2 linked regions of the Anolis sagrei genome follow. The protein of the gene in region 1 binds, or shares a complex with, the protein of each later gene. Links are inferred from orthologs where the notes say so. Each region holds a gene or a part of one and is shown on either strand. Other genes may lie near its edges.

Region 1 (15,681 bases):
TTTGCCGTTTTGTGAGTGTGTTGCTGTGTTGTTTTTCATTTTGAGTAGATATGTTTGTACCTTGTGGGTTGTGTTATGGGCACGGGGATTTTAGTTAAGTTTCGTTGGGGGATTTTTGAGTTTTGTTGTTTTGCCGTTTTGTGAGTGTGTTGTTGTGTTGTTTTTCATTTTGTGTAGATATGTTTGTACCTTGTGGGTTGTGTTATGGGCACGGGGATTTTAGTTAAGTTTCGTTGGGGGATTTTTGAGTTTTGTTGTTTTGCCGTTTTGTGAGTGTGTTGTTGTGTTGTTTTTCATTTTGAGTAGATATGTTTGTACCTTGTGGGTTGTGTTATGGGCACAGGGATTTTGGTTAAGTTTCGTTGGGGGATTTTTGAGTTTTGTTGTTTTGCCGTTTTGTGAGTGTGTTGTTGTGTTGTTTTTCATTTTGAGTAGATATGTTTGTACCTTGTGGGTTGTGTTATGGGCATGGGAATTTTGGTTAAGTTTCGTTGGGGGGTTTTTGAGTTTTGTTTCCTCGTTGGATGCCCCTAACAAATTTATATATATAGATTAGATTGATTTTATTGCCCACATACTTTAAGTGCAAGGCATTTCTGTTTAGTTTATTCTCTCTCCCTCCCTCCCTCCTTCTCTCCCTCTCTCTCCCTCTTTGGTAGTACAAAGGAAATATTAGTTGTAGCTCCCTTGGCAAATAAAGCTGTTCAGTAAAAGTGTGAGCAAGGTCTCATTGCACCAGGAGAGCAAGGGCTGGGCACTAGACAACACCTATTTTGCACCACTGTTCTTAATTAAACAAGCATTTCATCTCTAAGGTGTTACAAGAACCCTTTGCAAACTGATATTCCAGAATAATATGGCTATGCCTTTTCTAAAAAATCTGTCGCTGTTTCTTCTATGGTATCTCTAATAATTACTTACAGGATACTACACAAAATGTTGCATCTATTTATGGTACACACTCTGTTTTCCTTCCTAAATGCATGTGTGTGTCTCGGGGGGGGGGGGATTTCTTTTGCTCAAAGTTATTTCCATATATCACAGGTTGTATCCTATGTGTCTCATAAATGTGAGGTAGGTACACACAGTACCTCATTGGGAAATTATTGCCAGAATCCAAGCAAACGTGAAGCCAGTTCCATAAGAACTTGTGCACTTCTGACTCACTAATCTCAGTGAAATTCCCACTGAGATAATAATTTTCAGTTATTATCTGATGAACAAGTATCCTTTCCTTTAAAGTGTGAGTACTAATAGAAATCTATTTAAAGTAAAGTTACTGGCATAGATTAAATCTTAAAATTTCCTCGACAGAATTAATATTGAAAGTTAAAAATATAGTGGGCACAAAAATGTATGATATTGCCAGGCTGATTCTATGATCAAAGATGTATTACCAGAACTTCCATTAATGGAATGTAGCTGTAATCCTATACATGTCTAGCTATGGAAAAATGAAAGGAAAATTATTGGAAGGAGTGTGGTGGGGAAATAGACGCAAAATATTGCATACCCTTCAACATTTAATAGATAAAAACCAGGATACAAATAACAAAAAGAGAGTGGGGGGGGGGGGGGAGAATCATAGAATCATAGAATCAAAAAGTTGGAAGAGACCTCATGCGCCATCCAGTCCAACCCCCTGCCAAGAAGCAGGAATATTGCATTCAAATCACCCCCGACAGATGGCCATCCAGCCTCTGTTTAAAAGCTTCCAAAGAAGGAGCCTCCACCACACTCCGGGGCAGAGAGTTCCACTGCTGAACGGCTCTCACAGTCAGGAAGTTCTTCCTCATGTTCAGATGGAATCTCCTTTCTTGTAGAGAGAGAGAGAGATCAAGATGGAAAACATTATTTGTAAGGAAGAACAGACAAGCTAGGAGAGACTGCATCAGTTTGGTTGTCTGAGTTTACAGCTACATTGTAGAATAAATTGATTGATTGATTGATTTAAAACATTTATATTCCGCCCTTCTCATCCCGCAGGGCACTCAGGGCAGAGCACAACATATATACGGCAAACATTCAATGCCGGAACATAAACTATAAATATACACAAACATTAAAATAACTTATATCAACTTTAAAATTGACTGTTTTAAACCATCTCAGGACACCATTCTATTATTGTCTCATTTTACTGCCCCAAAGCCTTGGTCCCACAGCCAGGTAGAACTGCACTTTAACTGCCATGACTCAGTGCTATGGAGTCCTGTGGTGTTGAAGGAAAGTTCTGAGAGTGCCTTGGACCACAAGAAGATCCAACCAGTCCATACTTCAGGAAATAAAGCCCGACTGCTTATTGGAGGGTAGGACAGTAGAGGCAAAGATGAAGTACTTTGGCCACATCATGAGAAGACAGGAAAGCTTAAAGAAGACAATTATGCTGGGGAAAATGGAAGAAAAAAGGAAGAGGGGCCGACCAAGGGCAAGATGGATGGATGGCAGCTGGAGGTAGTGACTGCCGACAGGGAGCTCTCGCGTGGGCTGGTCCAGTAGGTCACAAAGAGTTGGAAACGAATGAACGAATGAACAACACCAAATGCACCCTGAGTGCATATATACTGAGTGGAGAGTATGTCATCTTAAGACAGTGCAGTCCAGAAATAGGTTTACAATCTCAGTGAAAAAAGAAGTGGGACTCTCACTTTAAGAGGCAAGTTTCAGTTGTTTTCATGCTTCAGGATGTGCTAACTCAATTTTGAAAAAAAAGCTTTCATTTTTGGCAGGTGGGACCAAAATGGTTAGAGGAGCAGCAGCTTGTAGTACCAGACAAGGGTGACTTGTACATTGAAGTTCTGTTCCTTAAAATCTGATGTGGCTCTGCAGTCCAGTAATGTTTAAGTAAATACCTGTTAGTTGAAAGCATCTTTGTATTTTGCTGTTTCTTCTATTGAGAACAGGAAACAACATATCAACACTAGCAGATTGCCCAAGTATCTCTGCAGACGTTGCTCAAGTATCACATCCATTGCTGCACATAAATCAACAGGAAGGAGATTCACTTGCTACATAAAAGAAAATGGGAGAAGGTCTCAACACCTCCATGGGGCAACACTGGTGTACCCACCATCCATGATTCTAGCTATTCTAAGAATCTCTTATGTTCATACACATGTGTTTATTTATGCACAGGGAGATATGAATACGTGACTCCTTTTAATTGTCATTGAATAAATAGTCAGTGGGTACAGTGGAAGTGCAGGTGACATATGGAAAACTGTTTCAATTTATATTGTAAGCCATTTTGAGTCTCGTTTAGGCAAAAAGCAGAATCCTTGTCATCATGGGCCATCATTCATGGCCAAGTATGATTATCTTCCAGAAGCAGGGTCTTAGCGATGGATTCATAAATGACTGTGAAGGCCTATTCTGGATCCACTAGACATACATTTCCAGATAGAAGGTGGTCACAAGGGTTTGGTTGCCATGCCTTCCTCTTGGCACATTTCTTCTTTTCACCCTTTATCCATGCCTCTTCAAAATCTATAACACCTTTGGTAACAGCTGACCTTGAGTTGCCAGGGCTTTCCAGTTTTTGTGTTCATGCCACATTTTTGTAGGTTTTTAGCCCATCTTTAAATCTCTTTTGTTGTCCTCTGACATTCCATTTTCTGTTCTTTAGCTGAAAGTAAAGTAACTGCTTTGGGAGGAGGAGACCGGGCATTCAGCGGTGGCCAGTCCAACAAAATGGATGGTGAGAATCACTGCTTCAATACTGGTGGTCTTTGCTTCTCCCAGCACACTAATGTTTGTCCGCCTGTCTTCCCAAGAGATTTGCAGGATTTTTATTTATTTATTTATTTATTTATTTGCTTTATTTCTATACCGCATTTTTCAGCCCAAACAGGCGACTCAATGTGGTTTTTGTTTTTCTGAGGCAACACTGATGGACTCTTTCCAGAAGTCAAGAGTGACATTTGTAAATGCTCTGTGTTTTGTAGCCACACAACAGAGTTGGATGGAGAATAGCTTCATAAACAAGCATCTTGGTATCTCCACAAATGTCCCGATACGCAAACATTCTCTGCTTCATTCGAAAAAACACAGCACTCACAGAGATTAGACAATGTTGTATTTTGATGACTTTTGTGGAGAGGTGGCTGCAAATGGAAGCAGAAATGGTCAACATTTTCTAACATTACACCATTAAGCTGTGTTAGTTTGTGCCTGCTGGTAGAGTTCTTTGATTTTTCCTATGTTAACTGAAAGGCCAAGCTTTTCATAGATTCTGAAAATATGTTTAAAGTGGCTTCTAAATCTTCCTTTGAATGAGCACATTATCATCAGCATATTGGAGTTCTATAACAGAAGTTGTTGTTATCTTACTTTTGGCTTTCAGCCTGCTGAGGTTAAACAGCTTGCCAATATGTGATTTCCACACCAGTGGGAAGTTTCCCATAGAAGCCAAATGAATAATTAAATGGATTGTGCAGCCTCACACCATTAGTCCTAAAGACATTGAACACGCAGCAGTAATACAACTTTTTCCAAGGCATTACCATGCCCATAATAGTGAAGCATACTGGTGGAAAGGGCTCCAAGGCCCAGTGGGCAAAAGTATAGTAATGATAAATGCAGCCATGCTTTCCAGATGTTTTATGGAAACCAAGCCATTACAATATAACCCTGTTATCAGTGTATTTAATGTTCATGGCTTCACTTATCCATGTTCCAAAAATTATCCCCTTGCCCTGCTTCTGGGAAGTGTTTCCTCGTATGAGGACCTGGTTATTTTGGTTTATTGTAATTTGTCATGTTAACATTGTGTTAGTAAATGGTGGTGGGAGCCAGTAGAAAATTTGGTTGTGTTAGGACCTAGCAACAGATATTATAGATAGTCTCTGGTCTGTTGAGATCCCAACATTTTGTAACATATTGCTTATTTTTTTTCCACTCACCAGATACCTTTGAAGGCAACAATAAGGTTGATGTGGCCCTCAATAAAAATTGAGTTTGACACCCCTATTCTATGGTCTCCTGTGGATACCAAATTTTGTGGATGCTCATGTTCCATTATATGCAATGGTTAGATTTATATCCTACCTTTATCTCAGACATGCAATTTAGGGCAGAAGCGCCTTTCCAATAAGTGAATATCGTGCTTCCAATTCAGACATATACATTTCACTATACTGTTAGCTGAGAAGACCGTGAAAATATATGATCTGTGTATTTTTACAAACATGTTCATCTCCCATAATTATCAGGACCCACAATTAAAGATGAAGTGAAGAACGGAGAAATATAATTTCATACACTGTAGATTATTTTCTGTCAATAACAGCACCCATTCTCACTAATATCAGATGAACATCTCCCCTCATCTGGGCTTCAAGGAGCACTTACACTAATGCAGTTTATGGAAAACATCCAAAAGATTTCCTTTATGGCTCAACCATTTTCAATTATTTAGAGGCCAGAGATTAGGAAAATATACCTATATTGCATTTTGTGAAGAGGCATATAAGCATAGGAAGCAGTTTGAACATTTCCTTTGTTGTCAGATTTTAGCAGCAAGCCTATGTTAAATTGAAACTACAAAATATTATTGGATGTAAATTCTTTATCTCGAGTGAGAATAAGCAGCAATCCATGTTTGTGGATTTCAACTCTTATAGCTTAAAAATAGGTAAGCTACATGTGGTTTGCAGGCCACATGTGGTTCCAGATTCCCAAATAATCACTAGTCTACAAAGGGCATTTCCCCAATACTTAGATAACATGCTGGAACCACCAGGGGTCAAAACAAAACCTATGAATTTCACAGGATTTTCCTAGGCAAGAAACTCAGACAAAGTACCTCCTCAGAAACATAGCCTACAGTACCTGGTCTCCCATCTAAGTATGATCCAAGACTAATCCTGCTTAGCCTCCAAGACCAAGGGGGATCTGGTGACTTTAGCTGTTTCTTAGTGTTGATTGCCATTAAGTCAACTTTGTTATGGCAACCTTATAGATGACAGGCCTCTAAGGACCTTATTAGAAGTTGTCCTCTATTTCTACACACTTCAAAGATGGGATTCCACGGATCCCATTAAATGACACAGGACACTTCCATGGGTCTTCATCTCCGTAGAAACGGGTGGATTTTAAAGACAAGATAGTCGACACCACTCGTCTCCGTCTGTTTAGAAATGGGTATTTTTCTATGGGAAATTGTCCATTTATCAATTTTCAGTCCATATTCTGATATTTCAGGGTGGGTGCTCATGTGAGGGGTCTTTTCATGCTCCTTGTTGCTCCTTCTGCTGCCATTAGTCTTTGGACTTCTATTCTCCTTTTAAAAATATTTTGTTGTTGATACTGTGACTGTGCAATTGAAGCATGGACCTTTGAAATTCTGTAATTGCACTTTTGAGTATGGAGAATTGGTACCAAGTTTGGTCCAAATCCATCACTGTTTGAGTCTACACTGTACGGATGACAGAATGGGAGGAGACAACACTCGCCCATGTGATGAGAAATGAAGCACAGGGTTAAACAGAAAAGGAAGGAGTGATGGGAGTAAGCAAATTCTCTTGTTTTATTTCAAAGGAAGGAAGACGATTCCTCCTGCTTTTCCCCCTTTGTGGGATGAGGTACGAAGTCAGTGGTTCTCAACCTTCCTAGTTCCACAACCTCTTAACACAGTTCCTCATGTTGTGGTCACGCTGAACCATAAAATTATTTTTGTTGCTACTTCACAACTGTAATTTTGCTACTGTTATGAATAGTAATGTAAATATCTTATATGCAGGATGTATTTTCATTCACTGGACCAAATTTGGTACAAATACTTAATACTGGTGGGGTTGGGGGGGTTTGGTTTTGTCATTTGGGAGTTGTAGTTGCTGGGATTTATAGTTGACCTGCAACCAAAGAGCTTCTGAACTCCATCAACAATGGAACTGCACCAAACTTGGCACACAGAACTCCCATAACCAAAAGAAAATACTGGAAGGATTTGTCGGCTTTGACCTTGAGTTTTGGAGTTGTAGTTCACCTACATCCAGAGAGCACTGTGGACTCAAACAATGATGGATCTGGACCAAACTTGGCACCAATACTCAATATGCTCAAATGTGAACACTGGTGGAGTTTGGGGAAAATAGACCTTGACATTTTGGAGTCATAGTTATTGGGATTTATAGTTCATCTACAATCAAAGAGCATTCTGAACCCCACCAACAATAGAATTGGGCCAAACTTCCCACAGAACCCCCATGACAAACAGAAAATACTGTTTTCTGGTGGTCTTTGGCGACCCCTCTGACATTCCTCTCACTAACCCTCTCCAGACCCTCAGATTGAGAAACACTGTTCTAAGTCATCAATAAGCCAGGCCTTCAAGACTCGGGGGGCAATTGATTCCTTGATTGAGTCCATCCATGTGGAATGTGGTCTTCCTTTCTTCTTGTTGCCTTCCATCTTCCCATTGTTTTTTAGTGAGTCATGTCTTTCTATGATATGGCTGAAGTATGACTGTCTCAGTGTAGTCATCTTGTCCTCTAGGGAGAGCTCAAGCTTGATGTGCTCTAAGAACCATTTATACTGGTATTTTTTAAAGCAGTCTACAGTACAATTCTCCAATGTCACATTTCAAAAGAGTTGGTTCTCATCTGATTTATAATAATAATAATAATAATAATAATAACTTTATTTTTCTACCCCACCTCCATCTCCCCGAAGGGACTCGGGGCGGCTTACATGGGGCCATGCCCAGACAACATACAGTTAAAAACAGAACGCCCATATATAAAACAGCATAAAACATCATCATCATAAACAATAAAAGCAGGCATCATAAGCAACAATATAAGTACCCTTTCTTTCCTGTTCCGTTTTTACAACCATTTCTATATAAGAAATTGGAACTATCATGGCACGGACAATCATGCCTCTGGTATCCAATGGTGCACCTTAATACTTAAGGATCTTGTTTAGTTCCTTCACAGCTGCCCTTCCAATCCCTAGGGTGCACCTACACTGTAGAAATAATGCGGTTTGAGCTGCATTGGCTCTAATGCTATGGAATCCCGGGAGTGGTAGCTTTACAAGGCCTTGAGCCTCCTCTGCCAAAGGTGCCTCACCAAACTACAATCCCAGAATCCCACAACATTTAGCCATAGAAGTTAAGAGTGGTGCCAAACAGCATTCATTCTATGTGCTGCTTAAGGTTTTCATGGCTGGCATCATTAGGTTGCTGTGAGTTTTCCGGGATTGTATGGCCGTGTTCCAGAAGCACCCTCTCCTGATGTTTCACCCTCATCTATTACAGGCATCCTAATTGGTTGTGAGGTCTGTGGGAAATTAGGTGTGGGGTTTATATATCTATGGAATGTCCAGGGTGGGAGAAAGAACTCTTGTCTGTTGGAGGTAGATGTGAATGTTGCAACTGGCCATCTTGATTGAAACTGAATGGCTTTGCAGCTTCAAAGCCTGGCTGCTTCCTGCCCAGGGGGAATCCTTTGTTGGGAGGTGCTAGCTGGCCCTGATTGTTTCCGGTCTGGAATTACCGCTTTTTGAATCTTACCCTGATTTTAGAGGGTTTTTAGCCAGATTTTCTTGATTTTCATGGTTTCCTACCTTCTGTTGATATTGCCCACATACCTGCCATAGACGTGGACGAAATGTCAGGAATGCTTCCCGAACATGGCCATACAGCCTGGAAAACTCACAGCAACCCAGCATTCATTCTGCAGTGTAGACGCACACTGTGGCAAATACCATAGGTAATGGCACCCACACTCTTTGGCAGAGAAGGCTGAATATCTTGTAAAACTGCAAATCCTAGCAACAGGATGACCTAACACTGAGCCATGGCAGTTAAAGTGGTGTTAAACTGCATTCATTCCTGGTTTCTGAGGGCCCTTCCACACAGCCCTATACCCCAGAATATCGAGAATCCCAGAATATCTGAATTGAATTGGGTTGTCTGAGTCCACACTCAGATAATGTGGAATCTTCTGCCTTGATTTGAATTGGTTTCTGAGTTCATATTCAGATAATATGGGATTTTCTGCCTTGATATTCTGGGATACAGGGCTGTGTGGAAGGGCCCTCAGAAGGGGGAATGGGAATTTAGGTCCTTTCCACACAGCCCTATATCCCAGAATATCAAGGCAGAAAATCCCACATTATCTGAAAGTGGATTCATAGAACCCAGTTCAAAGCAGATATTGTGGGATTCCCTGCCTTGATATTCTGGGCTATAGGGCTGAGTTGAAAGGCCCAAAGTGATTTCTGTTGGGCGAGTTCACCTTTCTGCTTCAAGCTGGGCTATGAAACCCAGGCAGGCGAGAAGCGGAAGTAGTGGGCAGGAGGAGGAGGGGCGGGGAGAGCGAAAGAAGAGAAGCCTGGCCGAGGGCCCGCCCGCGCCACTTCTCCTCAGCCGCACGCTTCCCGAATCGCGAGCGCGTCACTGCATGCTTCGGTTTGACGCGCCCGCCCGCCCCCTCCTCCTCCTTCCCCCCCCCTTTCTCCGCGGCTCCTCCCCCCTCCTCCGACTCTCTCGGCCGGGAGGGACGGAAGAGGCGGCCATTTTGGGCTCGCGCTCGTGTGTGAGTGTGAGCGAGGGGGGAGCGAGGCCGAGGCTGGGAGTGACTGACTGGCTCCTTTGCGGAAGTGGGTGGCTTCGCTCCCCCCGCCCCCCTCCTCCCTCTCCTCCTCCGGTCCTCTGAGTGCAAGGAAGGAAGGCAGGAAGGAAGGCAAGAAGGAGGCGAGCCAGTCCCGCGGGCGCCTCGGCCGCACCTTCTTTTCCCTCCGCGCCACCGTCGCCGCCGCCGCCGCTCGACCCGGGAAGGAGGATGGCAGGGCGGCTCCCGGCCTGCGTGGTGGACTGTGGCACCGGGTGAGCCCAGGGCCAGGGGGAGGGAGCCAGGCGGGCAGAGAGGGATGAATGGGCCGGAGGAGGCCAGCCCCTGCCTGGGAGCTGGCTGGCTGGCTGACTGGCTGCTGACAGGTCGCCGAGACGGGAAAGGGAAGGCTGCCATTGCGGTTCCCTTTGGGGGCGGCCCCACTCTCTCTGTGAATATAAAATAATATATAATGTATGCGTGTGTGTGATGTATATAGATGTGTGTGTGCATTGTATGGTGTATGCATGTGTGTGTATGTGGGGGGGGGGGAACTGCTTGCTTCAACCCACCCCTTTCCCAAATCAAATAAAAGGTCTCTCTCTGTGTATATAATATAATACATAATATGTGTGTGATGTATATAGATGTGTGTGTGTATTGTATGGTGTATGCATGTGTGTGAGTATGTGTGTGTGTGTGTGTGTGGGGCGGGGGGTGAGGGGGTGGAACTGCCTGCTTCAACCCACCCCTTCCCAAATCAAAGAAAAGGTCCCTTTTTAAGTACATCTAAACCTCAGTTCATTGACATTCCACTTTCTCGTCCCTTCTCCATTGCACACCCATCAAGTTGTGTGTATGTGTGTGCACACACACACATAATACAACATTTATATGTCGCCCTTCTTCTCACCCTGAAGGGGACTCAGAGCGGCTTACAAGTTACATATATACACAATATATTGTATTATTAGCATAGCACAATATTAGTATTATATATAACTACATTGTGCTATACCACTCTACTGTAATATTATTAGGTTGGATATATTTGTGTGGGTGTGTGTGATGGGGCAACTGTTTGCTTTACCCCCATTTGAAAATGAAATAAAAGGTGGCTATTCCTTCCTCCTTTCCCCGAGGCATAGCCAATCCCCCCCCCCTTTGGCTCTCTTTCCCCCCCACTGCTCCCTCTGTTCTGTTGCAAACCCTCCAAGTTGTGTGTGGGTCCAACAGCCTGCCTGTTTTACCCACCCCTGAAAAAAGTACAGGGTTTATTTTCTCTCTCAGATTATTCAAAGCTTCTCCTCACCTCATTGACATCCCTCCCCCCCCCCTTCATTGCTAACCCTACAAGTTGTGAGGTGAGTGTGTTTTATATACGCATACATATACATACATACATACATACATACATGAAGAGGGGTGTCAGTGAGGTGAGAAAAAGCTTTGAACCATCTGAGGGGGGAAAGGGAACCCTGTATTTCATTTTCAGAGGTGTGTAAAGTAAGCAGGCAGTTGGATATATATGGATTTTGCTTTTGGAGAAAGGGGACCTGTCTCCTCCATGGCTGTCGTTTTGACGGTTTGCTCAGCCTGTTCTTGTCTTGAAGGCATCCACCTTCAGGAAGGTGGCTTTGTGGGAGGAGAAGGGAGTCACGCCCTAAAACAGCAGGGCTCCTTCCAGGTTTAAATATGTGGGATTGGCCTTTTGCTCATTCCTCAGAGGCGGTGGCCTCTCTCATGCACTTCTTTATTTCTTTCCTTTCTGGAAGTGGGCTTGCATTGTCTCCCCATTATAAAGTCACGGAAGATGCCATCGCTACTGTTTCTGTTCATTGTTCATTTAAAGGCTGACTGGACGTTTTCCATTAGGAGGATGTCCTCTGGAAACTGGGTGTTTGCACCCTAATATTATCATTGCATACCATAATTTTTCTACTCGTTTCAGTGGCCTAGAAATTTCACCCTTTAGTTCTTTGAAGAAGCAGAGCTTCCCCATTTCTTTCATAATGAAAACGTGCACTTTCATGCAGCTTAGCCACAGAGTCAAGCTCAGACAGTTTAAATATTTTATGCTTTCCAAATCAAAGCCGGCTAACAAATAATTTTGAAAGGATTTCACCCTCTTGTCTGTAATCTGCAGATAGATCTAGTGGAGCGGTAGCTTTATTAAGCAATGTCATGTTTTTTCCATATGTGTCATTTCTTCAGCATTACTTCTCTGTGTGTGGGTGAAAAAAAAAGTCCACCCGCTCTAGTGAGCAAGCGCAAACCAACTTCCTTAGTTTTGTCAAAGGCTCTTCCTCCTTTCAGGCTTCTATACCTTATAAGGCAGTTTTCAGTGTCAAACCTGAACCAAATCCTTTTTTTAAATTTTACAATTGACAGCTGCAAGGAAAAATAGCAATGCTCAATATTTAATATCTGCTTATAGAATGGAGCTTTCCAGCAGACAGTGAACTAAGCCATTGGGGACTTCCTGAAATGAGCGTTTTGTATCTTTCTTTTTGGTGCCTTAAGAAACTGGGCGTAAGGAAATTTCTTTTTGTGAAGACCTTTGCTCAGTGCATATGCAGATGACTTTGAAAATAACTCAGCAGCATTTTGATATGTAGATTGTATTTGCAGCATCTAGCAATGAAATAATAACATAACAGGTCTGCTTTTACAGCCCATATAATTGGTGGCACAGTGAGTTAAATTGCTGAGCTGCTGAACTTACTGACTGAAAGGTCAGTGGTTCGAATCCAGGGAGCAGGGTGAGCTCCCGCTGCTAGCCCCAGCTTCTGCCAACCTAGCAGTTCGAAAACATGCAAATGTGTGTAGATCAATAGGAACCGCTTCAGCTTATTTTTCAATCTGGAAAAAGCATGTGTAGGTGAGAAAAAGAGTAGGAAAAAACATCACAGGATTAAAGTACAGCTAGTCTCTGACTATTTAAAATTAAAGCTATAATGAAAATCTTAATATATAAATTCTTTTGATTTTCTACTGTTATACATTTCTGGAAGCTGTGTTGTTTTGGTGAACTTATGGTGATTCAGTATCACACAATACTTAATAAGTCACGTTTTCTCCTTCGAAAACCTTTTTTAATGAAGTTTTGACTATGCACATCTATATGAGGCTTCTTTACATCTCTGAGAACTCAGTGTGAATTATAATGTTAAAATGATCTGTGGGTCAAAGAGGTAGGGATAATCATAAGTGAATAAGGGATTTAATTCCTGATTCTGCAAAAAATTCCTGAATTGCTTCTTGACAATTGAAGGCAGGATTTTTAAAATATTAGATAAAATTGCACAGACAACTTTAATAGTTCTTTCAAATAACAAACTAAATTTGTGAATTCCTATGAAAATTGAAAGATGGGAGGTCTCAATGCTATTATCCTGGAATTACATTCTCAGTACTGAAGCTGCTTATTTTATGTTTAGCATGTAGAGGAGACACATAGAGAATAGGGGGACCCATTTTAAGTGCCCTCAGTCCTTCATGGGAGTTGCATACCACAGTTTTCTGAAACTGGAAATGATTTTCCAGTAACATCCAGTAACCTTTTTGTTTTGCTTGTTTTGGGCTGGATTTTGGAATAGAGGAAGCTGAAGCAGTTATTAACACTTAACATTGAACCCAATGAAGAGGTTTTTTGGCAGTAGTTCTCAATTTGTGGGTCCCCAGATGTTATGGCCTTCAACTCCCAGAAATAGTAACAGCTGGTAAACTGGCTGGGATTTCTGGGAGATGTAGGCCAAAACAGCAGGGGACTCACAAGTTGAGAACCACTGTTTAGGGCATTGCTGTAAGTGTTAATGGGCACATGCTGCCTAGATACTTGCTTACTTACCTGAGTCCTATACCTGTTTTAGAATATTGATTTGTATTCATCGGGTTCTTATGTATAGTTTCAATTTCCAATGATGTATTGTACTCCTCTGACTTGAATTGTTCTGATGCCATTCTACCCTACACCTTTCTCTGTCTCTTCTGTTGATGCGGATTGGCTTTAATGTAAAGATATGGTTGTTTAAATGAATAAGTTGATTGGAAACTACTATGTATTTCCTTCTCATTCTCATAGCCCACAAATGTTGTGTTTACCTGTAAAGATTTATTTTCTGATTACTTCAGTTCCTGTTATAGATGACTTATGAGGTACTCTTCATGCAACAATGTGCTTATACTAAGAGCTGAACATTTAAAAGTGAAAAGGGGAAATGCAGGTCTCCAGTTAGACATGGAGCTGCAGTGCCTGGTTCATGTCCCTGAGATTCTCCTGAATGTTCCTTTCCCTGCAGCAAAACTGGAGTGTTAAACGATCCTGCTTAATTAAAAGTTAATTGAGTTTTGAAAGCTAAGTGTGTATGGAGGTTCTTACAGAACTGAGATCTTAAAAATGCAGTATAATGAAAATTTAGAATGATGGTAGATTGATTTATAGGTTCGAACATGTATCAGAATGGTTCATTTCAGACATGGACCAAATTTTGATTTGTACTCACAGTGGATTGATCTTTCAGGTGCATTGGGTTACACTATCTGCAACTAAGATTAGCTTATTTGAACACCATGCCAAACTGTAGTACAGAACTTGATTTCTAATTCTGGTATAGTGCAAAAGATGGCTTGTCAGTTCAGTCATGATGACACAGTAAAGTTAAATGTAATGTTTAATGTATGACATCGTAACTTGGGTGAGACTAGATGACCTTTTTTTTAAAAAAAGAAGTATTCCACAAACTGTGATAAAATCTGTTTTTCATAGCATGTGATTTTTAAATAGTTATCTTACATAAACTATGAAACTTGTTTTATGGTTGGTGGTACAACATGCATAAATTGTGAACCTGAGGATACATACATACAGACATGCGTGTGTGTAAGGTAATATTCTGTTCACATTATATTCAATTACCTTGCACATTAGGATTATGAACTTCTTAGGCAGTGTCCTATTTAAGCCATTGATTCCAAGCATCCATTTTTTGTAATTACAGTTCATTTAAAAAATATTTGCATTTCTATAAATATGAAATACTCTTCAATCATAAACTGTTCTGAGGACATGTGGTAGTTACTGTGTATTGGAGCCTATGCCATTATTTTGCAGATCATTTTTAAAGTCAATTTATTTATTTAATTGATACCCAGCCTTTCTTCTAACTAGGGTTCATGAGTGGAACAAATTAAAGCAAAGTGCTTTGAAAGCGATTTTCCTGCTTCTTGGCAGGGGGTCGGACAGGGTGGCTCTCGAGGTCTCTTCCAACTCAATGATTCTATGATTCTAAGGTAGAATTAAAAATAAGACAATATACAGATTAAGCAAATGTTGCAGCCCCATGTAGAGTGCTATACTGTAGTGGCCCAAGTGGAAGATATTCAAGTGGTGAGTGTGCTGTACCCATATCTAACATCCAGGAACAACAAGTGATACATTAGCCCCAACAGTGCAGATGCATTCATGGCTATTATGAAAACTTGAACATTCAGGTTTAGGGTTAAAATCAAAATTACAATCAAGCAACAAACCTGTAATTTCAGTGGGAATGCAATCCCATTTAGCACAGATTGAATCCTTATTCCCTGGTTTGCTTTTTGACAAACCAGGAACACTTTTGCCTTAACATGGTTAGGTTTCAGTTTGCTCACCTATGTACAGTCCATTACTCAGAATAGAAACTGTCCTAGTAATGAAACTACTTCCTTGAAATTGCATGTAAAGAAAATATAGAATCTTGGGCATCAGGTTGTTTTCTTTTGTAAGAAATTAGCATAGTCTTCTATATATGTAAACTGTTAATTATGATAACATAGCATGGCAGTGTACTCATTCACACAATTTTCTAATCATGTTACTCACATACATGGAACTGGAAACACGCCATCTTTACTACATAGGAGACAAGAAGGCTCCTCTCAGGTTGTGGAAGTACCTTTAAAGGGAAGCTAGGCATCTCTGTGTACGAACCCACACGATCTCTTTGTTCATCTGGAGAGGCCCTGCTGACGATCCCACCGGCATCGCAAGCGCAATTGGTGGAGACGAGGAATAGGGCCTTCTCGGTGGTGGCCCCTCGACTCTGGAACTCTCTCCCTAAAGTCATCAGGATCAGGCAGGCCC
Region 2 (15,696 bases), on another chromosome or scaffold:
AATTTGTTCTTCATTTTAATTATTGTATTGTTTTTAAGTGTTTTTTTTTTGCACTACAAATAATATATGTGCGGTGTGCATAGGAATTCATTCATTTTTTTTCAAATTATAATCAGTCCCTCCAACAGTTTGAGGGACTGTGACCTGGTCTTCTGTTTAAAACGTTTGAGGACCCCTGGCCTAGAAGTCACAATCTGCACCAGAGCCCTAATTAACTGGGAGGAAGGAGTGTACCATCGAAAGGCACCACAGGCTGCAGGCTTACACACAATATGCTACAAAGAATATTTAGAACCATGCTGTTAATTGCTGCCTCAAATTTACAAGAATGATGCTCACCCACTCCTTGTTTTTGGAGTTGATCAAGCCAGTTCCCAGCTTTCTGACTGCAAAATAGTATTTGCCTCTCAATTATCAAATGTGTGGGAAATATATTACTAAAGCAAGAGATTGTACAGTGAAAAGAACTCGAGTCCTTAAAGCTGAGTGTGCCCTTGCGCCTGGGGGCTATAAACATGGCTCTTCGAGTTGGCCTTTAACTGAGTGCTATATCTTGGCAATGATGACCGGAATGGACCACGACTATGAGACTGACTATGACCCATGATATGACGAAGCGGATTTTTAGTATAAGTATATGTCAAGTAGTAGTAGCATGTTATGTATTGTTCTGATAACTGTAAATTGTCTTTTCTATGTTGTTGTTCACCGCCACGAGTCGCCCCCTGGGCTGAGAGTGGCGGTAAATAAGTGCAAGTAATAAATAAATAAATAAATAAATAATTCCTAATGAAGGAGGCATCGACGTGGCATCTTTCCCCAGGGGATTGCTTCTTGCCCTCCTATAGGAAACTGGAACTCTCAAAAACCCAAAATGTTGTAAATAACTCAAAATAAGTTTTTATTTATCACAAAGAGTTATTTCTTAAAGCAATGAGCTGAAAACTTCAGAGGGGTGAAGGCAAATATACTTTACAGTCTCAATTAGTCCTGGGTCCAAGGTGTTTGAAGCTGAGAAGCCTCCCCAAGTTTCCTCTTTCCTCAATGGCTGTGAATGCCGGAGCAAACCACAACCCCAGTTCAGATGGCCTATGTTTTGAAGACTCAGGATCTTCCTTTGGTGCCAAAAGAACCGGTTTGAAGGCGCTTGGGTCTCCTCAGTGTTGTCCAGGATGATCTGGACATAAAGCATGAGTCCCAAGGGTAAAAAACCTCAGAACTGGTGCTAAGAGGTTACTTAAATCAGGGTCCTTTAGAGACAAGTCTCTTACTCACGTCCATATGGTAGGAACTCTGATGGCAGAATGAAAAGGAAAGGAAGCACTCCCCTCCTGCAGGAAGAGGTGGAGCCAAACAGTACTGATTGACAGCTATAAGTAACCAATCCATACAACTATACATAAGCAGGGTAAAAGGGGCAGGATTAAGCATGATACAACAGTTTAAATCTTGCAACTAACAGTTCTACACATAGGTGGCGCCACTTGTGCCATCACACTGAGTTTCTCTGTGTTTTTTTTTACTTCTCTTCTTCATAAGGTTGCATTTCTATAAGAGCTGGATGACAAAATGTTCCTGAAAGGGAACAAAATGTCTTTTTTATATGAAAACTGAAAGCTGTCTTCATCCTTAGCCAGGGCAATGTTGGCTTCCAGAACGTAGAAATACTTTGCTTTAAAGGGGATTCCACCTTAGTCATACTTTCAGCTATTTGTTTTTATTATTAAAACACCAAATACTTGATTTGAACTGTGCGTCCACAGGGGCATGTTAATCTAGCTTTTCTCAAAATCTTCATCAACATAGAATCATAGAGTTGGAAGAGACCTCATGGGCCATCCAGTCCAACCCCCTACCAAAAGCACCCCCGACAGATGGCCATCCAGCCTCTGTTTAAAAGCTTCCAAAGAAGGAGTCTCCACCACACCTAACTCCAGCAGACAAAAGTCCTGTGTCCCACCCTGGTCATTCCACAGATATATAAACCCATTTTCCTACTTCCAACAGACCTCACTACCTCTGAGGATGCTTGCCATAGATGCAGGCGAAATGTCAGGAGAAAATGCCTCTAGAACATGGCCATATAGCCCGGAAAAACCTACAACAACCCAGTGATTCCGGCCATGAAAGCCTTCGACAATACATATTATTATTATTATTATTATTATTATTATTATTATTACCCAGCTTATAACTCTATCGAAAAAACAGAACCTCAATATTGTACCTAACGTTTTGCTATAACTAAACCAGTTTCAAAGCAGTGTAAATTATAATATAAATGCAATCTCAAAGTTTCAAAGGAAGCGGGAAAAATAACTAATGTTTTTTGCTTGTGTCTATGTGTGTTTCAGGACTGTTCCAGTAACAGGACAAGATTCCCAGAGCCTCATGGACCCAGAGACTGAAGCTTTTTGTCAAGAGTACCTAGTACCCCATGGTACAGTGGTGAAGCCGTATTACTGGCTAAACACAAGCCAGGCCTGTGCCAGATGTCCGTATCATATAAGAACAGGGGAGCAGGCAAGGGTCCCTTATGCTGAATTCCATCAAGCTTTTGGGTTCCCCTATGGGCCAACACATCACCAAAATAAACACCTTCTCTTTTATGAAGTAAGGCACTTCTCAGGTAAACGAATGCAAAAGGGTCACGCAACGAACTGTACAGAGAATGACATCCATCCAGAATCAATGTTATTTGAAACTGGAGGCTACCTCGACTCTGTCGTACACAACTGGGAAAATGCCATGTACATAATTCTCTATTCCAACTATTCCCCTTGCAACGAGGCTGAGCACTGCTGCATAAGCAAAATCTACCGCTTCTTGATGAAGTATCCAGGAATCACACTTTGCATTTATTTTTCACAGCTGTATCACACAGAGGAGGACCTCCCAGTATCTCCATGGAACTGTGAAGCTTTGCAGAGCCTTGCCAGCCTCTGGCCTCAGGTGACACTGAACCCCCTCTGCGGTGGACTTTGGCACTCTGTCCTCCATAATTTTGTGACTAATGTCCCACAGGCAGGTTATTACCGTCCAATTTTGCCCATAAGAGCATTGACTGATAGACAGAATGCACAACACCTTAACAACATAACAGGAATGCGGTCTCCTTTCATGAAGGCCTTGCCTCAGCCAATTTATGGAAATGCAAGTGCTATGCCAAATCTGCAAAAGAACTATATGTCTGCTTTATACTCACAGCATCCAGTGCAACTGATGAATAGCAGATTGCCTCCGCTAAGAAGGCAACCTCTCAATTTGACCCCTCCCATGAATGTTTCTTCCCCCTGGAAACAGCAACCCCTACACCCCAAACCTAGAAATATTGTGAGGCACTTAAAAATGCCAAATGACTCATTAAGCAAAGTGAAACATTTGCAAGTAATTCCCAAGGGAAGAGCTGTTCACATGGAGAAAATTACTAAACAACACTGAGGCAAGCAAGCCGGCGGAGCATGAAGGCCACAGGAAGAAAAAGGATTAAATTCAGTTCAGCTAGAAAGCTATTACAGGGCTGGGCAATTCCCTTGGTACAAATAGTTACATAGGAGATATACAATGAGCTGGGAAAACTGGAGCTCATTAGCATGGAATCAGCAAAACGCACACATTATTTTCACTTGAACTGGATATTGTGCCAGGATAGAAAGCTTCAGCTGCCAGCAGCAAAAGGAAGAACCAAAAACCAGCCCTCTTTGTCATCTCTGCTTTAGCCACTGGACAGTTCCACTTGCCAAGAACGGCTGACCGCCAGCAGCCAAGTAAGGGTCAGTCCTCCATTTTTCAATTCGAATGTTAAAACTTTTTCATTTTTTTCCTGTATAATTGGTTTATATTATTACTCTATATCATTTTTTTCTTTCAACTGCCCTGTGATTATCTGACAACCTTGTGGGACATAAATACAATAAAGCCGCAGCAAACTGAGCAGACTTACCACAAAGGGACTCAGATCGGCTGTGTTGACCAAATACCACAAAGAGGTAATCCAAGGCAACATGTGGCAAGACCACCAAAGTTGCAGGATGCTCTAATTGTGGCCCAGAATTTGGAGTTTCCTATGACTTTGTCTATATAAACCAGGAGTCCTCAAACACTGCACATATCTGATTTGGACTATTGCAACGCCCTGTATGTTGGCCTTCCGATGTCTACGACCCGAAAGCTCCGTATTGTTCAGAATACGGCAGCCAGGTTACTCACAAGAAAACTCATGAAATGCCATATAACACCAGTGCTGCAACATTTACATTGGCTTCTGTAGTGAAATTGCTACTCTGTGTTAAAGTTTTGGTGCATAGCTCTATGTTTACATATGGCAGAAAGGGAAGAATAGGCACAGACAGGGTAGCAACAGCAGAGATAGGATTCATTTGCATATGTGAAGCCAATTGGTCATATGCAGATTAGTGTAGGCCCAGGATTTGAAAAGGCTGCTAGGCCAAAATGACAGTTGGGGAGAGCAGAGCTGAACATTCCAAAGGGGCGGATCCAAGGTTCTAAAAGAGGCAGTTAGAGTGAGGGAGTTTGAAAATGACAGTTTGGAATCTGTGTGTGAAGAGTTGGTTTTTGAGTGCCTGATAGAAATAAACAGTTATGAAGATGTGTTAAAGACTTCTGATACAGAGAAGCAGTTAGTAAATAGAGCTCGAGTTTAAAGGAATATAGAGAAGGCTAGTGTTGCCTTAGTTCAGAATATAATTCAGCCAAGAGTGTGTAAAGCAAGTAACATGTTTGTGAATATGAAACATTGAGAGTTTATTCAGAAAAGTTAACCAAGTAAATGATATTGACTGTAAGCCTCAAGATTGCAACAAAACACAAATGTAACCACAAGCGTTGGAGCCAGAAGTTATAAATAAACTGTGTTACTTGGTTTTACACAAGAGTGTTTCATTGCCTGCGATATACAATACAAAGGTTTGACAGCACACAGAAAGCCCCTACCAATATAAAAGAAGAAACTGAATCAGTATAAGGCAGCAAAGAAGTTTTTAAAAGAGGAAATAGTCTCTCTCCCTCGCCTCAGCTTCCAAATGAGTACCGTGGCCTGTATAAGATGTTAGTTCTGACCTTTACGGCCAGGGTCCATCATACCTTAGGGAGCGCTTCTCCTCCCATCATCGGAGGTCGCAACAACCAGCCCAACGCAACTTACTCTATAGACCGGGTCCTAGAGAAGTGCACTTGGAAAGTACCAGATGCAGGGCTGCTGTGCCCAGGCTGGTTCCTCAGGTGCTCTGCTATGGCTGACTTCTCCGGTTAACGTGGTCTGCAGTGCCTTTCATGTTCCTTGATTTGTGTTTGGGCAATGCTGCGTTTGGTGGTCCCTATGTAGACTTGTCCACAGCTGCATGGTACACAGTAGACTCCTGCAGAAGTGAGAGGATCCCTCTTGTCCTTTGCTGAACGTAGCATTTGTTGGATTTTCTTGGTGGGTCTGAAGATAGTTTGTATGTTGTGTTTCCTCATCAGCTTCCCTATGCGGTCAGTGGTTCCCTTGATGTATGGCAAGAACACTTTTCCTCTGGGTAGATCTTCGTCTTTATTCTCATGGCTTGGTCTTGGTCTTGCAGCTCTTCTGGTGTCTGAGGTGGAGTATCCATTGGCCTGTAGAGCCCAGTTGAGGTGGTTCAGTTCATCTTGGAGGAGGTGGGGTTCGCAGATTCTTTTTGCACGGTCTGCCAAGGCTTTAATGGTGCTTCTTTTTTGACTTGGGTGATGGTTGGAGTTTTTATGTAGATATCTATCTGTGTGTGTGGGTTTTGAACAAAATGAACAAAATCTGGCTACCAGTATTAAAAACTCTAAAATCACAACAGCACAGCAACAGAGAAGAAACAAACAAGGACATCTAATCACCTCTCAACAAAAGATTGCCCCAGGCACTGCCAGGCCATCAAATGCTAATCAAGGTGGTCAGTTGAAATATTCACAATTTCCCCTTCCCTTCTGCTTTCCCCTTCCCTTCTGCTCCCTCACCCATATTGTGCTTGAATCGTTATATTTATATTTTTAATGTACCAAACATACCAAGCTTTTATGAAAATGTGACTATTTTCTGTGCTGGTCAATGACCGAAATAAATGATTTGATTTGAAACATTCACACCTAGCTCCAGCAGACAAGAGTCCTTTGTCTCGCCCTGGTCATTCCACAGATATATAAACCCATTTTCCTACTTCCAACAGACCTCACTACCTCTGAGGATGCTTGCCATAGATGCAGGCGAAACGTCAGGAGAGAATGCATTTAGACCATGGCCACATAGCCCGAAAAAACCTACAACAACCCGAAGAGGATGTTGTTGTGAGAGGGGTCAAAATGTCTTCCTCTATTAGGTTCTTGTGGGTTTTTTCGGGCTATATGGCCATGTTCTAGAGGCATTTCTCCTGACGTTTCGCCTGCATCTATGGCAAGCATCCTCAGAGGTAGTGAGGTCTGTTGGAATTAGGACAATGGGTTTATATATCTGTGGAATGGCTGGGGTGGGGCAAAGAGCTCTTCCCTGCTGCAGCTAGGTGTGAATGTTTCAACTGATCACCTTCATTAGCATTTGAAGGCCTGGCTGAGCCTGGGAAAATCCCCTGTTGAGAGGTGTTAAGATGTGCCTGGTTGTTTCCTCTCTGTTGTTTTGCTCTTGTAATTTTTGAGTTTTTTAATATTGGTAGCCAGATTTTGTTCATTTTCATGGTCTCTTCCTTTCTGTTGAAATTGTCCACATGCTTGTGGATTTCAATGGCTTCTCTATGTAGTCTGACATGGTGGTTGTTGGTGTGGTCCAGCATTTCTATGTTCCTTTATTGTCTGTTCCGCTTTACGGCGACACAGGGAGATACTTTTCCCCTGTTACGGCTAAACCCAAAGAGGGGCGTGGCCGAGCACTTCCGCCCTCACCGAAGACGCTGGGCGCGTCAGAGGTCACGTGCTGCTCACACCTTGCTCTTTCACCACGTCGGTCCGCAATTCTGCGCATGAGCGAGACCTCTGGGGGGGGGAGGAAATGATAGTTTGGCGCCTGCGCAGTAGAGTAATAACAAAGCAAGCGGTTATATCGTTGGTAACAAGACTTGTTAAAAAAGCAAGGTGGAGATATGCATCTGGGCCGAGTCTCAGTCTCCTATGTATTTCGCAAAGGCAAGTGCCGCGCGGCGGGAGAGTCCGCGCGCTCGCTCGCTCCCCCCCCCCCAAGCGCGAGCGCTTCTCCAGCGCATGCGCGGCGCCTCTTTCTTGACGCGAGGCCACCGCCTCCGCTTGGGAGGGAGGGAGGGAGGAGCGCCGCCTTCTTCTTCTTCCTGCTTTCCTTCCTTGCCTGAGGGAGTGAGGGAGTGAGTGAGGTGGGGCGCAGCCATGGCGAAGCACACCGTCTCCTCCGCGCGCTTCCGCCGAGTGGACGTGGACGAGTACGACGAGAACAAGTTCGTGGACGAGGAGGACGGCGGCGACGGGCAGGTGGGCCCCGACGAGGGCGAGGTGGACTCCTGCCTCAGGCAATATCCTTCTGCTGGTTTGGCCCTTGAGGGAGAGGGGGAGGGGGGAGGGAACAAGGCTTCCGGCCCACCAAGAGCAGTGCAATCTCCTCGCCTCCCCCACACACCTCAGTACCATGCAAGTTGGGAGGGAGCATTTGGCAGGACACTTGAGGCATCCACAGAGAAAAGGGGCAGGCCCAGGGCTCTTCCACACAGCCATCTAACCCAGAAAATCAAGGCAGAAAACCCCTGGTTTGAACTGGGCCATCTGAGTCCACACTGCCATATATCCCAGTTCAAAGCAGATCATAGAATCATCCAGTCCAACTCCCTGCCAAGAAGCAGGAATATTGCATTCAAAGCACCCCTGACAGATCATAGAATCAAAGAGTTGGAAGAGACCTCATGGGCCATCCAGTCCAACCCCCTGCCAAGAAGCAGGAATATTGCATTCAAAGCACCCCTGACAGGTGGCCATCCAGCCTCTGTTTAAAAGCTTACAAAGAAGGAGCATCCACCACATGCTCATCCGGAGTTTTGGAGTTAGGTGCCATCTCTATGCAGATGACACACAACTCTACTACTCATTTCCACCTAATTCCAAGGAGGCCCCTCAAGTGCTGGACGAGTGCCTGATCGCTGTGGCTGTCTGGATGAGGAGGAACAAGCTGAAGATCAATCCCGACAAGACAGAGGTCTTCCTGGTCAATCGTAAACCAGATTGGGGTATAGGATGGCAACCTGTGCTGGACGGGGTTACACTCCCCCTGAAGTCAAAGGTCCGCAGCTTGGGAGTCCTCTTGGATTCATCACTTACGTTTGAGGCTCAGGCGTCAGCGGAGTCCAGGAGGGCTTTTGCACAACTAAGACTTGTGCACCAGCTGCGACCGTACCTCGCAAAGCTTGATTTGGCCGGGGTGGTCCATGCCTTGGTCACCTCTAGATTGGATTACTGTAATGCGCTCATGGGGCTGCACTTGAAAACGGCTCGGAAATTCCAACTGGTCCAACAGGCGGTGGTCAGGATGTTAACTGGCGCTCCTTACAGGGAGAGGTCAACCCTCCTGTTTAAGGAGCTCCATTGGCTGCCGTTTACCTACCGAACCCAATTCAAGGTGCAGGTGCTTACCTACAAAGCCCTGAACGGTTTGGGACCTGCCTACCTGCGTGACCGCATCTCCATTTATGAACCCATGCGCTCCCTTCATTCATCCGGAGAGGCCCTGCTCGCGATCCCACCTGCGTCACAGGCGCGTTTGGTGGGGACAAGGGACAGGGCCTTCTCTGTGGTTACCCCCCGACTCTGGAACACCCTCCCCAAAGACATTAGACTAGCACCCATGTTGGCAGTCTTTAGGAAGAACTTGAAGACCTGGCTATTCTGATGTGCCTTCCCAGAATAGGATAACCCCCAGCACCATGTCCCAGAAACACTTTATTAGAGTTAAGATTCTCTGCACATTGCACTTACTCAGAATTCCAACATACCACCGTCACATCCAGCACTTTTTAACCTGTACCCATCATTGGCCCGGCCTGATTTTAATGTGTAATAGTGTAATGTTTTTGTCATTGCTTATGTTTTAATTTTTGCTTTGTATTGTATTGTTATTGTTTGCTGTTGTTGTGTTGAGGCTTTGGCCTTTGTAAGCCGCATCGAGTCCTTCGGGAGATGCTAGCGGGGTACAAATAAAGTTTAATAATAATAATAATAATAATTTTTCATTTATGGTGGGAATGCCCCCAAGTGAAGAATTTTTGGAAGGATATATTTACCGAAATAAACAACATTATAGGATCAAATATTATGCCGGATGCTAGGTTAGCATTAGTAATGGACACCACGTAGCTGAATGTAGAAACAAGTAAGAAAGAATTGGTGACTATTTTGCTCAGAGTGGGAAGAATTATAATAGCAAAGAATTGGAAAATAATAACTAATCTAACACTGGAAGCAAGGTATAGGGAAGTTTGGAATGTAGCTTTAAATGATAAACTAACAATGGAAATGAGGGTATTCAGGGGGGAAATTAACAGATCAGATTTTGAGGCATACTGGTTGGTCTTTATTAAATATGTCTTAGAGAGCGAAAATGGAAAACAACAGAATTTGGTTGGTCAGGAATTTTGGAGATGACATTTAATTAATGGTTGATTTAGAAATACATGGTGAAGGAAATGATACTTGTTCAGGCCTTGGTGGTGGGGCTATGTGAACACTGATTATTATTATTATTATTATTATTATTATTATACCCTGCTTTATGAAGGGGACTCAGAGCAGCTTAACACAAAAGCATCAGCATAACAATTTAAAAATATACAAATATGCAAACATTAAAACAGGATTAAATATAACCAGAATTTTTAAAAATCCTAGTTAAAAACCGTCAAAACACATTCAAAGTTAAAAATCACAGCGCACCCTTAATTGATCTTAAACACCTTCATGCTTCTGAAACTGTGGGTCCCGATCCCAAATAGCGTCCCCTTAGCTCAACGTTCGGATCACAAAAAAATTGACAACGGTAAAGAGTTTCTGAATGCTGAAGCACTGAAGCAATGTTCGGCCTTTCTGCACAGCCATATAACCCAGAATGCTTTGAACTGGGTTATCTGAGGGCCCTTCCACACAGGCCTGTATCCCAGAATATCAAGGTAGAAAATCCCACATTATCTGAGTGTGGACTCAGATAAACCAGTTTAAACAGAATATCAAGGCAGATAATCCACAGTATCTGCTTTCAACTGGATTAGCTGAGTCCACACTGCCATATAATATATCAGTGTGGATATTGTACAGCTGTTTGGAAAAGGCCTTTGTTAGTAATAAATTGCAGCGTTGCAGTGGACTCAGCAAAAAATGTTTCAGGTGTACTCCACAAAAAGAAAAATCAGCCTGTTTAGCAAGCCTTGCAAATGCTTTTTATTACCAGTAAATACTTGTATTGTTGAGGGCTTTCACAGCCGGAATCACTGAGGTGCGTGATTTCCAAGCTGTATGGCCATGTTCTAGAAGCATTTTCTCCTGAGGTTCCATCTGCCACAAATGTCAGGAAAAAAATGCACTAACAATACGGGTCATACAGCCCGGAAACCACACAATGCCTGAGTAAATATTTTATTTTATACCTATTAGATATATCTATGTATCTGGGGTCATGTAAAATTCCATGGCAAAAAGGGAGTCACAAGTGGAAAAAGTTTAAGAAGCTCTGGACTAGATGACACTACTGTCTCTTAGCCAACACTCCCCACATCTTAATATGGATAGGAAGTATTGATGGCCAGTCAGGAGACTTACTGAAGTGACATATCTGAGATACTCTGAATATCAAAAGAATCATATGCGTATTTGCTTCATCATCATTATCATTCATTAATTCTTTGCTTAGGATTGAAGCCCGATTTTATAGATGATCACATATAAGAAGGCTTGATAAGGGATTACTCTCAAGTTACATTGCAGAAGAGTGCAGCTGAATTTTGATTATAGAGGTCTTTATGTGGGAATAAATCCACTCAAACTTCGTGGGATGAAATGAAAATAAATATACATATAATTTGCCTGTAAAAACAAAATATCATGTTTATACTGGATCTTATGGTATGTGTGTATGTATATATATGTGTGTGTATGTATGTATGTATATATGTGTATGTGTGTGTGTATGTATGTGTGTGTGTGTGTATATATATATATATATATAATCTGTTATATTATAATTAAGGTATGGTTGAGATTATAATTCTCGGATGGAGAGCAATTAATAAGTAATTAAATATGATGATGATGATAATTAACACAGCATGGGAATTGGGATAGAAAATAAAGAAGAGTGGACTGAGATTTGTATTAAGTAGTTCCCCACAGCTCTACCTCACCAGATTTCTGCATAAACTTCTGACTGACAAATGACTGCTGAGAGACTATTTTAACCCACACAGTTTTGAATCATAGAATCATAGAATCAAAGAGTTGGAAGAGACCTCATGGGCCATCCAGTCCAACCCCCTGCCAAGAAGCAGGAATATTGCATTCAAATCACCCCTGCCAGATGGCCATCCAGCCTCTGTTTAAAAGCTTCCAAAGAAGGAGCCTCAATATGAAGTTGGGGATAAAAAGGTTGCCACTAATGCCGAAATACCTTAAAGGCACCATCTGATATTCAAGGTGAAGCAGTGTCTGCCCTGGTTTGTGTTGGATGGGAGACTGTTAATAACTGTTAGGTGCTGTATGCTATATTTCAAAGGAAGGAACTACCTCTGAGTATTCCTTGCCTAAGAAAAGCATTTGATATTCATAGGATTGCCATAAATCAACCGTAGTTTGCACATACAAAACATGCATGTAACAGATGCTATTCACATTAAATCTTCTTCCAGTCAACACTGCTTTTATTTTTAATCAGCAATAAATAATTTTGCTCTAAAATATCCCAAATCTCAGCACCAAAACTCTTTGAGATTCAAAGGATCATTATAAATTAATAGGCAATTTAAAGGCACACACAACAGGTGAGCAGACAAGGCTTTCAGGACCTATTTTACCTTTTATTTAAAGTCTGGGGTCCTGCCATGTACAAAATAGTGGCTCAGGAGGGTGGATATATCCTGAAAAAAGAACACATGTTATCCTCTTGCTTCTCTGTTCACTTCTTTGTTTCAGCAGCCTGGGGACATTATAATTTTCCTGTTGTGAGTCACTAGGGAATCAGACTTGCTGATCTACTATAGATTGACCAGAGAACTACACTCCCTCTGCCTTCCTTTGTTCTATAAAATTGTTGTTTTGTAGGCCATTCTATTGCCTTTTTATTCTTTATTATATTATTTTATTTATTTATTTAGAGCTTTTATAACCCGGTCTTCTCGACCTCCGAAGAGGGACTCAGGCCGGCTGACAGCAGAAAATTCATACACAAACAGAGTAAACATAATAGCATCATAATATATTAATACAAATTACATTAATATACAGATCATACAATATCATACAATTATAAAATTATATATAAATAAAAGGAACAGAGGTGTGTATCTGTATCAGGAAGTGATTTATGTAAGAGCAAGCCAGTTTGACACTTGGTAGTCTTAGCTGTGCAAGGATTTTAAACTGCCTCCACCTTTAATACACAAAGCCTTATCTAACTTTTTACTTCCTTTGCTCCCTCTCTTCCCTTGATTTTGCCCTTACTTTTGAAAGCTGGGAAAGGGTGTGTGTGTACAATCTAAACCAGGGGTCCTCAAACCTTTTAAACAGAGGGCCAGGTCACAGTTCCTCAAACTATTGGAGGGCCAGATTATAATTTTTAAAAAACATGAATGAAATCCTATGCACATTTGTGCACTACAATATATTATTTGTAGTGCAAAAATACTTAAAAACAATACAATAATTAAAATGAAGAACAATTTAAATAAACTTATTAGTATTTCAATGGGAAGTGCGGGCCTGCTTTTGGTTGATGAGATAGGGTTGTTGTTGTTGTTGTTGTTGTTGTTGTTGTTGTTGTGTGCTTTCAAGTTGTTTAGTTGACCCTGAGCGAGGGCTGGGTAAATGACCTTGGAGGGCCATATCTGGCCCCAGGGCTATAGTTTGAGGACCCCTGGTCTAAACTATTGTTTCTCTTTCTGTTTTGTCATCCCATGATTAAACTAAACATAGAAAAATTGATCAATACCCCATAATTGCAATGTGAACTTTTTGGTCAGGTTATAAATTATAAATAATGGTACTTACTCCACCCCTGCTCTAAGAGTAACTTTCAGTATCCCCTGGGAAGCTAGTGGTCATATATAAGCTTGATGGCAAGGTACTAACTAATTGTAATTGTTTAGGGAACCTTTGTAGCTGAAGGGCAGGGTATAAATAGGTGTTCAGCCACCCCCCACTGTGCATATTTCACTGTCCCTTAAACCACCCTTTCCTGCTTGCAGAGATTTGGAGGAGGTTTTTGCTTTTTACATTCTCTAGCCAAATCAGTGTTTCTGCACTGCTGTGGCCCACTCCTATCTCAGTGTGAAAGGTTTGTACAGGCATTGTAAAAGTTAAAGACTCTTTTAAGTATTCACAATATATGAGTAAAGTGTGCTTAATATAGTTAGCATGGATATCCTAGACACAAGCAGTATGTTCTTGTGGGTTTTTTCGGGCTATATGGCCATGTTCTAGAGGCATTTAGGCAGTATGGTTTCTAGAAGCATACAAGCAGTATGGTTTGCTTGTAAATATTCAAAAGTGTCTGTATCTTTTGCTTTGCTGGTACGGGCCTAAAACATGTATTAAACAGTGCTAAATCTAATGGCATGAGAGAGAGGAGGAGTCACAGGACCACAGCTTTCAAATTTCCTGGTGTCAAACTGAAGCAGTAGAGGAAGTACATGCATTCTGCAGTGGCTTACCTTTTATGGAAACAGTTGCATCTAGTCTATGATAGTGTAACTAACTGGTATTGATATCATAAATATGGAAACATTAAAAATGGAAACAGATTGTCATATGAGGAGACTTTCTAGCACATTTCAGTGGCCTTCAAGAAATAATGAAGAGAAAATTAGAAAAATAAATCCTTTTCCTGAAATGTTTGCCCTTTTAGGCATTTACTGTGTTTTGAATTTTTTAAAAAGCCCCTCCTTAACATATGCTGAAGTGTGTGTGTGTGTGGGATGACAAAACATGATGAGTGCACAACCCACACCCTGATGGGCATTTCAAATCTTCTTTTAAAAAAAAAAAGGGGGGGGGGGTTGCCAAACATTGCTATTGACTCCTGGATAACTCTGGAAGCCTCCAAAGGTGATGACTATTCCCTTTACATCCCCTAGGTCTGTGTTTCTCAACCTGGGGATCGGGAGCCCTAGAGGGGTTACGAGGGGGTGTCAGAGGGGTCGCCAAAAACCATCAGAAAACACAGTATTTTCTGTTGACCATGGGGGTTCTGTGTGGGAAGTTTGGTCCAATTCTATCGGTGGGGTTCAGAATGCTCTTTGACTGTAGGTGAACTATAAATCCCAGCAACTACAACTCCCAAATGTCATGGTCTATTTTCCCTAAACTCTACCAGTGTTCACATTTGGGCATATTGAATATCCGTGCCAAGTTTGGTCCAGATCCATCATTGTGTGAGTCCACAGTGCTCTCTGGATTTAGGTGAACTACAACTCCCAAACTCAAGGTCAATGCCCACCAACCCTTCCAGTATTTTCTGTTGGTCATGGGAGTTAAATGAACTATAAATCCCAGCAACTACAACCCCCAAATGACAAAATCAATCCCCCTTCCAACCCCACCGGTATTCACATTTGGGCGTATTGGGTATTTGTGCCAAATTTGGTCCAGTGAATGAAAACACATCCTATATATCAGATATTTACATTATGATTCACAACAGTAGCAAAATTACAGTTATGAAGTCGCAACAAAAATAGTGTTATGGTTGGGGGTCACCACAACCTGAGGAACTGCACTAAGGGGTCACAGCATTAGGAAGGTTGAGAACCACTGCCCTAGGTTGCATTTGGTGTCAAACTGTTTTGACCCTTGAGTTTAAATGGCCATAGCACGGGCAAAGAGCATGGACTGCTCTTTGCCAACCCCGTCTTAAAACAGTACGAGGGGAAAAATTGAATCCTGTAGCACAAGTTCTGTTTCTTGTTTCTGTGTTTTAGTATTGTATTGTTGCTTGTTCCTGGGCAAACTTGGTGAGCATTTTAGTTTTTTGCTATCCTTATAGCTGTGTGCATAAGACAACACTGTTTTATCCTAGTACCTTATAGTAGAAAAGAGTGAATTTAAGCCAGAAAAGTTCTAGGTTAAATCTTGCTTCATCCATACATTCATAAATCACCTTTAGGTAAGCTACTACTCCCTCAGCTTCAGAACCAACCCAGAAATTATACTGACCTACATTGCCAGGCTGTTGTAAGGACTACTGTTCTTGTAAACGGAAGTTGGTGTTTGCAATATGTAAAATATCACTAGCTTATTAATTGTAATGGTGAGCAAGGCTGTGTTGTCCTTAACGTCTCTTTACAGGTAATATGACAGCTGCATTACAAGCAGCTCTGAAGAACCCACCCATCAACACCAAGAGTCAATCTGTAAAGGTGGGTCACCATGAGAATATTATGCTGTATTCAACATGGACAACAATAAAGTCAAGTGTATTGTCGAAGGCTTTCATGGCTGGAATCACTAGGTTCTTGTGGGTTTTTT

Evidence for each region.
Region 2: ACTR3 (region 1) and ARPC5 share a complex: the UniProt entries of both Homo sapiens proteins name them as parts of the arp2/3 complex. The link is inferred for Anolis sagrei from reciprocal best matches to the Homo sapiens genes ACTR3 and ARPC5.

The regions. Positions count from the first base shown.
Region 1 is NC_090021.1:215,781,922-215,797,602, forward strand, and holds the start of ACTR3 (actin-related protein 3), read left to right. Parts: upstream 1-9,482; 5' UTR 9,483-9,788; coding exon 9,789-9,832; intron 9,833-15,681. UniProt on the Homo sapiens protein: ATP-binding component of the Arp2/3 complex, a multiprotein complex that mediates actin polymerization upon stimulation by nucleation-promoting factor (NPF).
Region 2 is NC_090024.1:122,447,137-122,462,832, forward strand, and holds the start of ARPC5 (actin-related protein 2/3 complex subunit 5), read left to right. Parts: upstream 1-7,276; 5' UTR 7,277-7,356; coding exon 7,357-7,499; intron 7,500-15,514; coding exon 15,515-15,587; intron 15,588-15,696. UniProt on the Homo sapiens protein: Component of the Arp2/3 complex, a multiprotein complex that mediates actin polymerization upon stimulation by nucleation-promoting factor (NPF).